Linked DNA regions of Arabidopsis thaliana. The protein of the gene in region 2 purifies or fractionates together with the protein of the main gene of each other region. This does not show direct contact. Each region holds a gene or a part of one and is shown on either strand. Other genes may lie near its edges. The genes, in order: SGR4 and SYP51.

Region 1 (3,928 bases), on a different chromosome or scaffold from region 2:
TCAGAATATCGTTGAGAATATGGAGTAAATGTGTTGCAGAGAGACAATACCGTTTCGTGGGCACGTAAGAGAGACTGTCTCTGACCGTGCAAGTCTTGGAGGATTGAAACACCGATTTCTTCAGTCTCCATCATTGTTCTACGACTGTCCTTGACTCTGTCAGTGGTTCGGCCCAGACGCTCAGTTGACATCATCAATCTTGCTCTCTGATCAGCTGAAGCCTGATCTCAGCGTTTCAATAAAAAAAGAAAATCATAGGTCGTTTTAATAGCAAAGATATGAGATGAGATAAAATTGAAACAATACTACCGAGTCCTTTACATACCGTCTTTGTGTCAGCCATACCAGCTTCTAGCAACTCATCACGAGCAGCAGCGTTCAACTGTCCAGATGTGATTCTCTTCACTTCAGTTTTGAAATTGTTCAGATCAGACTTGAATTCTCTTAATTTGACAAGGAGGCTGGACTTAAGATTAGGTGGAAGGGTCCTTGCCTCGAGATCCATTTTCCTAATCTGGTGAAGAAAAGGACAGAGAAGCATCAAAATGAATAATGGACAATAGAGAAGCTTCTATAACTTCACGTTACGCATATCACATACCAATACTTCTGCATTTTCCAGCCCGGATTTTATTTCAGACAACTTCTGCTTCTTTTGTTCTGCAAATTAATAAGGTATCATCAATGCATTTTTATCTATGCAATCAACAGAGCATACTCATCTAGGGGAAAAAAAACAATCCCGATGATCAGCGAACACTACTAATCACAATCTCCAAAGAAAGCAAAAGAAAGGCACACTACTATGTCCTAGCAACACATGAAGGAGACAAGAAGTTTATAGTCATCAAACACAAACCAAACTATCTATAGAATCGTTCTCAGTAACAAACAAAAACCGAAGTATCCCCAGTGTAAAAAAATGGCGATGATCAGCGACCAATACTAATCACAAGCTCTCTTCGTAATCAGAAACCAATACTATGTCCTTACAACGAAGTAGTAATTAAAGGATCTAAATCGCACAATACTCTGCATCAAAAACACAAACCAAGATATCTCTAATTCGTACATTGTTACATTCATAAGCTAAACCAGAATTAGTTATTTCAAATCTTAAGGAAGGTAAGGCAATGCCTGAGTAGGAAAAGTATCACATCTTAGAAAAGATTAGAGTAACAATTTTACCTCCATCAAGCGAAATAGCAGAGGAACACTTCTTTGAAAGACTCGCCGAGAGCTCACAGTATTGTCGCTCATATCCATCAAACACGTCACTCATTGTTCCAAAGGAAGACTACTAAAAACTCTGCAGAATCAGCAACACACACAATGATGATGAACCCTAATTCTGATTAAGAACAGATTACATTAAGCTGAAACTTTAAGAACAGATTCAATAGCCCAAAACCATCAACAAGACTAGGCTATTGAAATTCTTACAACGATTCAAAAGATAAAACTAAAATCAATTGATTGTTTTGTATAGCAGTCCAAAACCCTAAGATAACTAGATCACGTACAGAAGAAAGAAATGTCAACACGGGGAAAAAGGAGAAAAAAAAAAGACAGAAAAGTAAAATTGACGGATCAAAAGAGAAAAAGGATGACGAATAAGTGACGAAAATTCCGGTGATCGGAACAAATGGAAGAGTTTAGCCGGAGTATAAGCACAAAAAATTAGGATCAAAATTAGAAAGCAGAATCACAATCAGAAAAAGAGGAATTAGGCGAAAAATAGAGAAAGCCAGATTGAGACCTGAGAAGGTAACGGGGAAGAGGAGGTACGTCGGAGTCGGAAAATCGATCGGTGATGACAATTGTGGAAGACGACGATGAATTGATTTGATGATGCGTACGTCTATGAATGATCTATGGAAAATATGTTCGACGGTTGAGTAATTATATCCTACATCTAGGCTTTGTACACCACTTGGCCTTTTTTTTGTCCAGATCTTTTGGCAATGCCACTGCCTTGTTGGGCTTGCGGATCTGCCATTTTTGGTGTTGCGAAAAGACTCTTCTAGGGCCCAAACTTTTATAGGTCACTGAAAGTTAGTTTTTTTCTTTTTCTGTTCTTAATTGAGGCGTGGGCATTCGGGTACCCGTTCGGGTTCGTTTTTTTTTCCGGGTATTGGGTCTATTCGGGTAGGAGGTTGAGAACCATTCGAGTATTCTAAAAATTCGGTTCGGTTTCGGTTCGGGTTTGGGTCGGTTCGGTTATTTTAGTAAAAATGTAAAAATAACCAAAAATACCCAAAATATTTTTGGGTTCGGGTTAGATTCGGTTTTTTTATTCATATATACCCAAATCAACCCGAAATACCCAATTACCCGTAAATATATTGGTTACTTTTTATACAAATATAACCAAATGTAACCAAAATACTTAAATTATCTAAAAGAAAACTATAACATTTGTTACTTTTACCCAAATATATCCAAATATATATGAATTACTAAAAAAATCTAGTATAATCGGATTTATAATTTTAATTTTGGTATTTGAGGTATTACAAATATATATATATAACTAATATATTTAAGTTACATTCGTATTCGGGTACCCACGGGTATTAGATTCGGTTCGGGTTCGGTTCGGGTTTTTTCGGGTAGTAAGGTCGAGGACCCATTCGGGTAATTCTAAAAATCGGATTCGGGTTCGGTTTGGTTATTTTTCGGGTTTTTCGGTTCGGATATTCGGTTCCGGGTATTATGCCCAGGCCTACTAGTTAATTTTTTGGGTTTTTTAAAAACTTTAAATGTTATTAAAATATTGAGATTTGGTTTTGATGATTATCATTTTTCTTTGTCGTTACTCGTTTTCATTGAATTTTTCAAGTTCTTTTCGTTTATAAATTTATAACATTCAAAATTATAACAAATATTTATAATATTTAAAACTTCATAAAGTTTATAAATTATAAATATTTAAAACGTTTTATAAAGTTTAAATTTTTAAGAGTTTGAAAATTTGTAATATTTAACTGTTAATAAAGTCACACAAGCCAAGAATTAGAGTCCAAAATTTTATAGGTCATTTTGTTTTTGTTCTTAATTCTTTGTTTTTAAAAAATGTTATTAAAATAGTGAGATTTGGACCAAAAATTTACTTTTCTTTTCTGGTTTTGATGAGTACCATTTTTCTTTGTCAGTACCATTGAATTTTTCAAGTTCTTTGTATAATAGACGCAGCAGTTTCCAAATTGCCTCCAAATATATTTCCAATCAAACCCATAATTTCAACATAACATTCCATAAAAAAAACAAAAGCTCAAGACTCCAAAGTATTATAATCCCCCTATATTAAAAACAAAAAAGCTATACTGCAAAAAAAAAATTGATATCCTTGATTAAGCTTTTTCATCTGTATAGAACAAATTTTCTCTATTCCACCAAAACCGTCTCAGACCTCATTTCCCGGTACCGGAGGATCCTCAGGCTTCGCGTTTCGTCTCTGAAACTGATCAAGCTCCTCTTGAGGGAAAACTTCAGATTGAAGAGAAGGAGAGATCTTATTAACGTGAAGCCACGTTAGTTGCCAGAAACTGTCACTTCCGATATCATCACCTGGTAATAAAACTCCCGTCGCCTTCATTACCAGTAATGTGTTCTTGAGCAGTTCCGGGATGAGTTCATTGACTTTCTCGCTGCGTTTTCCTCTGAATTCAGTTGACATGTACGTTTCCAAACGGTTTAAGACACCAACCCAAAGTCTGCAGAATGATGGTTGCTGTGAGATGTCTTGAAGAGATTGCAGAAAAGCTTTTGACATGAGCTTTGTGGCGAGAACAAGCGTTTCTTCCACTGTTTTCTTGAGAGTCTTCCTTGAATTCTCGATCGAAAAAGTGAGCACATCGTCTAGCAATATGAAGACTGCGGAATCAAAGCATTGGAACCATAGAGGTTGTGGTAACATGATCCCGTC
Region 2 (3,928 bases):
TCCAAAGGGTTACATACCCTCACAACAGGCAATCTCACAATGTCAAATCTCCCTGCCCCTGATTCTTCCCATTTAAGGACCTTACCTCCTATAACATAGAGTTCATTCCTTAGAGCTGCAAACCCATAACCGAAGGCTTCTAACTCTCTCGGATGATTAGGAAGAACAACAGAAGGAACTGAACCAACATTGTACCATTCCCCTTCATCTGTATCCCTAGTCTTGATCAAGCTTTCTCCCCAATCTACAATAGTATACACCCGATCATTTTTCATCACCTGAACAGCAAACTGCATGGCTCTAGAGAAAGGCCAGACATCCTCCACAGTGGACCAAGTCATGTCTCGTGGATTAAAAACTTCAGATGAATTTTGCTCTGCAAATCCCACCTGGTCACTTAAAACATGAAAGCAGCCTCTGTACGATAACCCCGAGCAGTCCATCTGTGGTCTAGGCATTGCTGGTAATTCCTCCCACCTGCAATACTACTATGTCATACTCCAGTTTGATAGCTTTTCAGGTGAAACATGAGAAAACTTTTAAAACTATATCTTGACCCATCATAGAAAAAAACAAAAAGAGTACATTGTGGGGTTAAATATGCCAGTTCTATCCTACACGAGAATATAAACCACATTAGTGTGGGAAAAAATACCTATCAGCGACAGGATCATAAACCTCAGCAGATGGGATTCCCCTGGAATGAGTTAAATTACGACCTCCAGCAACATAAACCTTGCCAGAGACAGAAGTACAAGCAAAGTGAGTCCGTGGTGTTCGCATACTAGCAACCATTTTCCATTGTTTCTTAAACGGATCAAACCGCATGACATCTTTAGTGACAACAGGCTTCTGATGAGGAAACGATGACACCGAAGGCGCATAACAACCCCCAATCACAAGAAGACAATTGGAAACACAAACACACGCAAAACCAGAATGATGCCAACCATCTTGAACAGCTCTAGTTCTAGGCAATGGATGCCATCGATCAGCTTCAGGATCATAAGCAACCCACTGATTCTTAGAACGTTCCGTCAACACAAACAACCAGCTCCCTGACCATCCATTTCTAGCTTTATAGCACGAGTAATCAGCACCACGAACTAAATCTCTCCAGCCTCTGGAAACACATTCGAGCACTCCATGATACCCATGAGAAAGCTTCGCTATGCATCTCAAAGCCAAATCATCAGGCAAACCTGGGATTATAGACTGCTCGATTGATTCCCTGAAAACAAGTTTCAGCCACTAACGATCAGACTTATTCAATCAATAATCAACATTCAATGTTTTAAGACAAAACATGATTTTGAAGAGAAAAGGTAAAGGATTGAGATTTAGATTCAACTTTGTGAAGGAAGAACAAGAGAGCTAACACTTACATGAACCGAATCGTACTCGAGAGATTGTAAATGTATCTTCTGATCCCCTTCTCGAACTTGCTTTAGAACACCAAAATCGCGCTTCAAAGTTTATCACTTTCCCGGAAACAAAAACACCATTAACGATAATCGAAACGGAAACTGCAATCAGAACGATATAGTTATGATGGAACTAAGCACAGTCAGAGAGAAACTCAGGATTCTGGCAAGGAAGAGAGGAGACGGAAGAAACAGGCATGAGATGGATAGATCCATTATAATGGGTCGAAAATTTAAATATTCTTTATTGATCCCTTCATTTATATGTTCTTTCTGCTTCTTAACGCATACTTTCTTAAATAACTAATTTAACCCATAACTTTTCCAAGATAACAAGTTAAAACCGCGTCGTTTTATTTCAGCTTCGTCTTTATCTCATCTTTCTTGCGACGGGCCCTGCTACCCGGTGCGTGACAGGTTGAATCATTCTCCTCCGATTCACGGTGATTCCGGCGACTACAGACTCAACATTTAATAAGCCGATCTCTTACATGGTACGAGCTCGGACAAATTGAAGAATACAAAGGTCCGAGAAATAATTTGGTAAGCAATTCGATCCTTTAAACGATGTTATTTTTGTCAATCCGAGTCATTGATGAGGGATTATATCTGTTACTGAATCTCTCTGATCTTCCCCTGATAATGGACTTCATGATCCTGTAAATTTCAGATTTTGAGCCTTGTGCCTCAAAATTGTAGTCAAAGGCCGCGTTTTTGTCTCAATTTGTAGATCTTTGTTGTTGTTTCTGTTGGATCTTACGTATATATCCTTGATCATTTTAAAATTTCAATGGAAGTGATCCAGGCTTTGATTAGCTTTTAATTATATAGGAATAATGGCGTCTTCATCGGATTCATGGATGAGAGCATACAACGAGGCTTTAAAACTCTCTGAGGAGATTAATGGAATGATATCAGAAAGAAGTTCATCGGCTGTCACAGGGCCTGATGCTCAGCGTCGTGCTTCAGCTATACGAAGGAAGATCACCATTTTCGGTAACAAATTAGATAGTCTGCAGTCTCTTCTTGCTGAAATTCATGGAAAACCTATGTAAGCCATTTACTAGTCCAATCCTAATTGCTTAAATCTGTAAATTAGACACCTTTAAGGTTAGTGTTAATCTGAATTATTACTTACTGACACAGTTCAGAGAAAGAGATGAATCGGCGAAAGGATATGGTAGGGAATCTGAGGTCAAAAGCAAACCAGATGGCGAATGCTTTGAACATGTCAAACTTTGCCAATAGAGACAGCTTGCTCGGGCCAGATATCAAGCCGGATGATTCCATGAGCAGAGTTACTGGCATGGATAACCAAGGAATTGTTGGATATCAACGACAAGTTATGAGAGGTAAAACCTCTCTTATCCTAGTAAACGTAATACAGATGTTGATTTCTGTATTTGTTTTTTCCTATTGAATGTTTTATTTTCCTGTGAGTAGAACAAGACGAAGGACTTGAGCAATTGGAGGGAACAGTCATGAGCACAAAACACATTGCTCTGGCTGTTAGTGAAGAGCTTGACTTGCAGACTAGGCTTATTGTATGTCACTAGCTTTTCATTTTTTCGCCTTTGATTTGAATTTTCGGATACTAACACATTTGGATTTTCCTTTATGCAGGATGACTTAGATTACCATGTGGATGTTACTGACTCTCGCTTAAGGGTAATATATGCTTCAACTCTTAAATATTTCAACAAACTAATTACTTTGGTGAATCCCAAGCTTTAGTTGATCCATACTTTCATTAGGAGTAACACTGATGTAATGGTGATCTGTTTTCGGTTTGCTCAACCAAGAACCACATTATGCTTAAGCTAATGGCTAATTAAAGACATTGATCTGTTATCTTATTACAGAGAGTGCAGAAGAGCCTTGCTGTCATGAACAAGAATATGAGAAGTGGTTGCTCTTGCATGTCAATGCTCTTGTCAGTGCTGGGGATCGTCGGTCTTGCTGTTGTAATATGGATGTTGGTTAAGTATATGTAATACCAACATCAGACAACTTATAAGTTCCTCTGTAGGTCCACTGGCCTCTACTCTCTATGTGAATGGTTGCAATGTATTTCCTCATTCCACATTTGTGGCTGAGCTTTTCATTTCTCTTCTGTTACCAAAACCCTTTAAGTAATATATAATGTGTGCAGTTATCACAGTTTGCTCTTTGCTGTCTTCATAAAGATTTAAGAAGTGGTAGCAAGTCAAACACAGAGACAAAAAAACAAAAATTATCTGTAGAATCTTCCACGAAGAAACTTGTCTGAGTTTGTTATAAGAAGAACATTGTGGAAATTTTGTAAAACACCAATATTCATATCATCATCACTGGAAACAAAATTCGCAAAATACGTATCTGATCCTTCATTTTATACATGTGTACTGTTTCTTAATCTCTACATTTGTAAGAGGCAAAACAAGAGATAGTGTAATGCATGTTCCTTTTTTTATTTCGCCAAGAATTGTCAACGTAGGCCTACCTTTCTACGATCATATAAGTAA

What was found.
Region 1: the proteins of SYP51 (region 2) and SGR4 purify together in Arabidopsis thaliana (affinity purification with western blotting, with the first as the bait; one study listed by BioGRID). This does not show direct contact.

The regions. Positions count from the first base shown.
Region 1 is NC_003076.8:15,819,389-15,823,316, reverse strand, and holds the start of SGR4 (Vesicle transport v-SNARE family protein), read right to left. Parts: upstream 2,025-3,928; 5' UTR 1,760-2,024; intron 1,310-1,759; 5' UTR 1,283-1,309; coding exon 1,189-1,282; intron 1,099-1,188; exon of another isoform or gene 880-1,098; intron 661-879; coding exon 602-660; intron 515-601; coding exon 326-514; intron 222-325; coding exon 51-221; intron 1-50. Other genes in the region: GNL1 (GNOM-like 1), read right to left, coding at 3,407-3,928. UniProt on the Arabidopsis thaliana protein: Functions as a v-SNARE responsible for targeting AtELP-containing vesicles from the trans-Golgi network (TGN) to the prevacuolar compartment (PVC) and mediates liposome fusion. May be also involved in retrograde traffic to the cis-Golgi.
Region 2 is NC_003070.9:5,554,673-5,558,600, reverse strand, and holds SYP51 (syntaxin of plants 51), read left to right. Parts: upstream 1-1,756; 5' UTR 1,757-1,967; intron 1,968-1,986; exon of another isoform or gene 1,987-2,150; intron 2,151-2,240; exon of another isoform or gene 2,241-2,255; 5' UTR 2,256-2,260; coding exon 2,261-2,475; intron 2,476-2,570; coding exon 2,571-2,776; intron 2,777-2,867; coding exon 2,868-2,968; intron 2,969-3,047; coding exon 3,048-3,092; intron 3,093-3,286; coding exon 3,287-3,418; 3' UTR 3,419-3,758; downstream 3,759-3,928. Other genes in the region: AT1G16250 (Galactose oxidase/kelch repeat superfamily protein), read right to left, coding at 1-477, 656-1,231, 1,386-1,387. UniProt on the Arabidopsis thaliana protein: Vesicle trafficking protein that functions in the secretory pathway.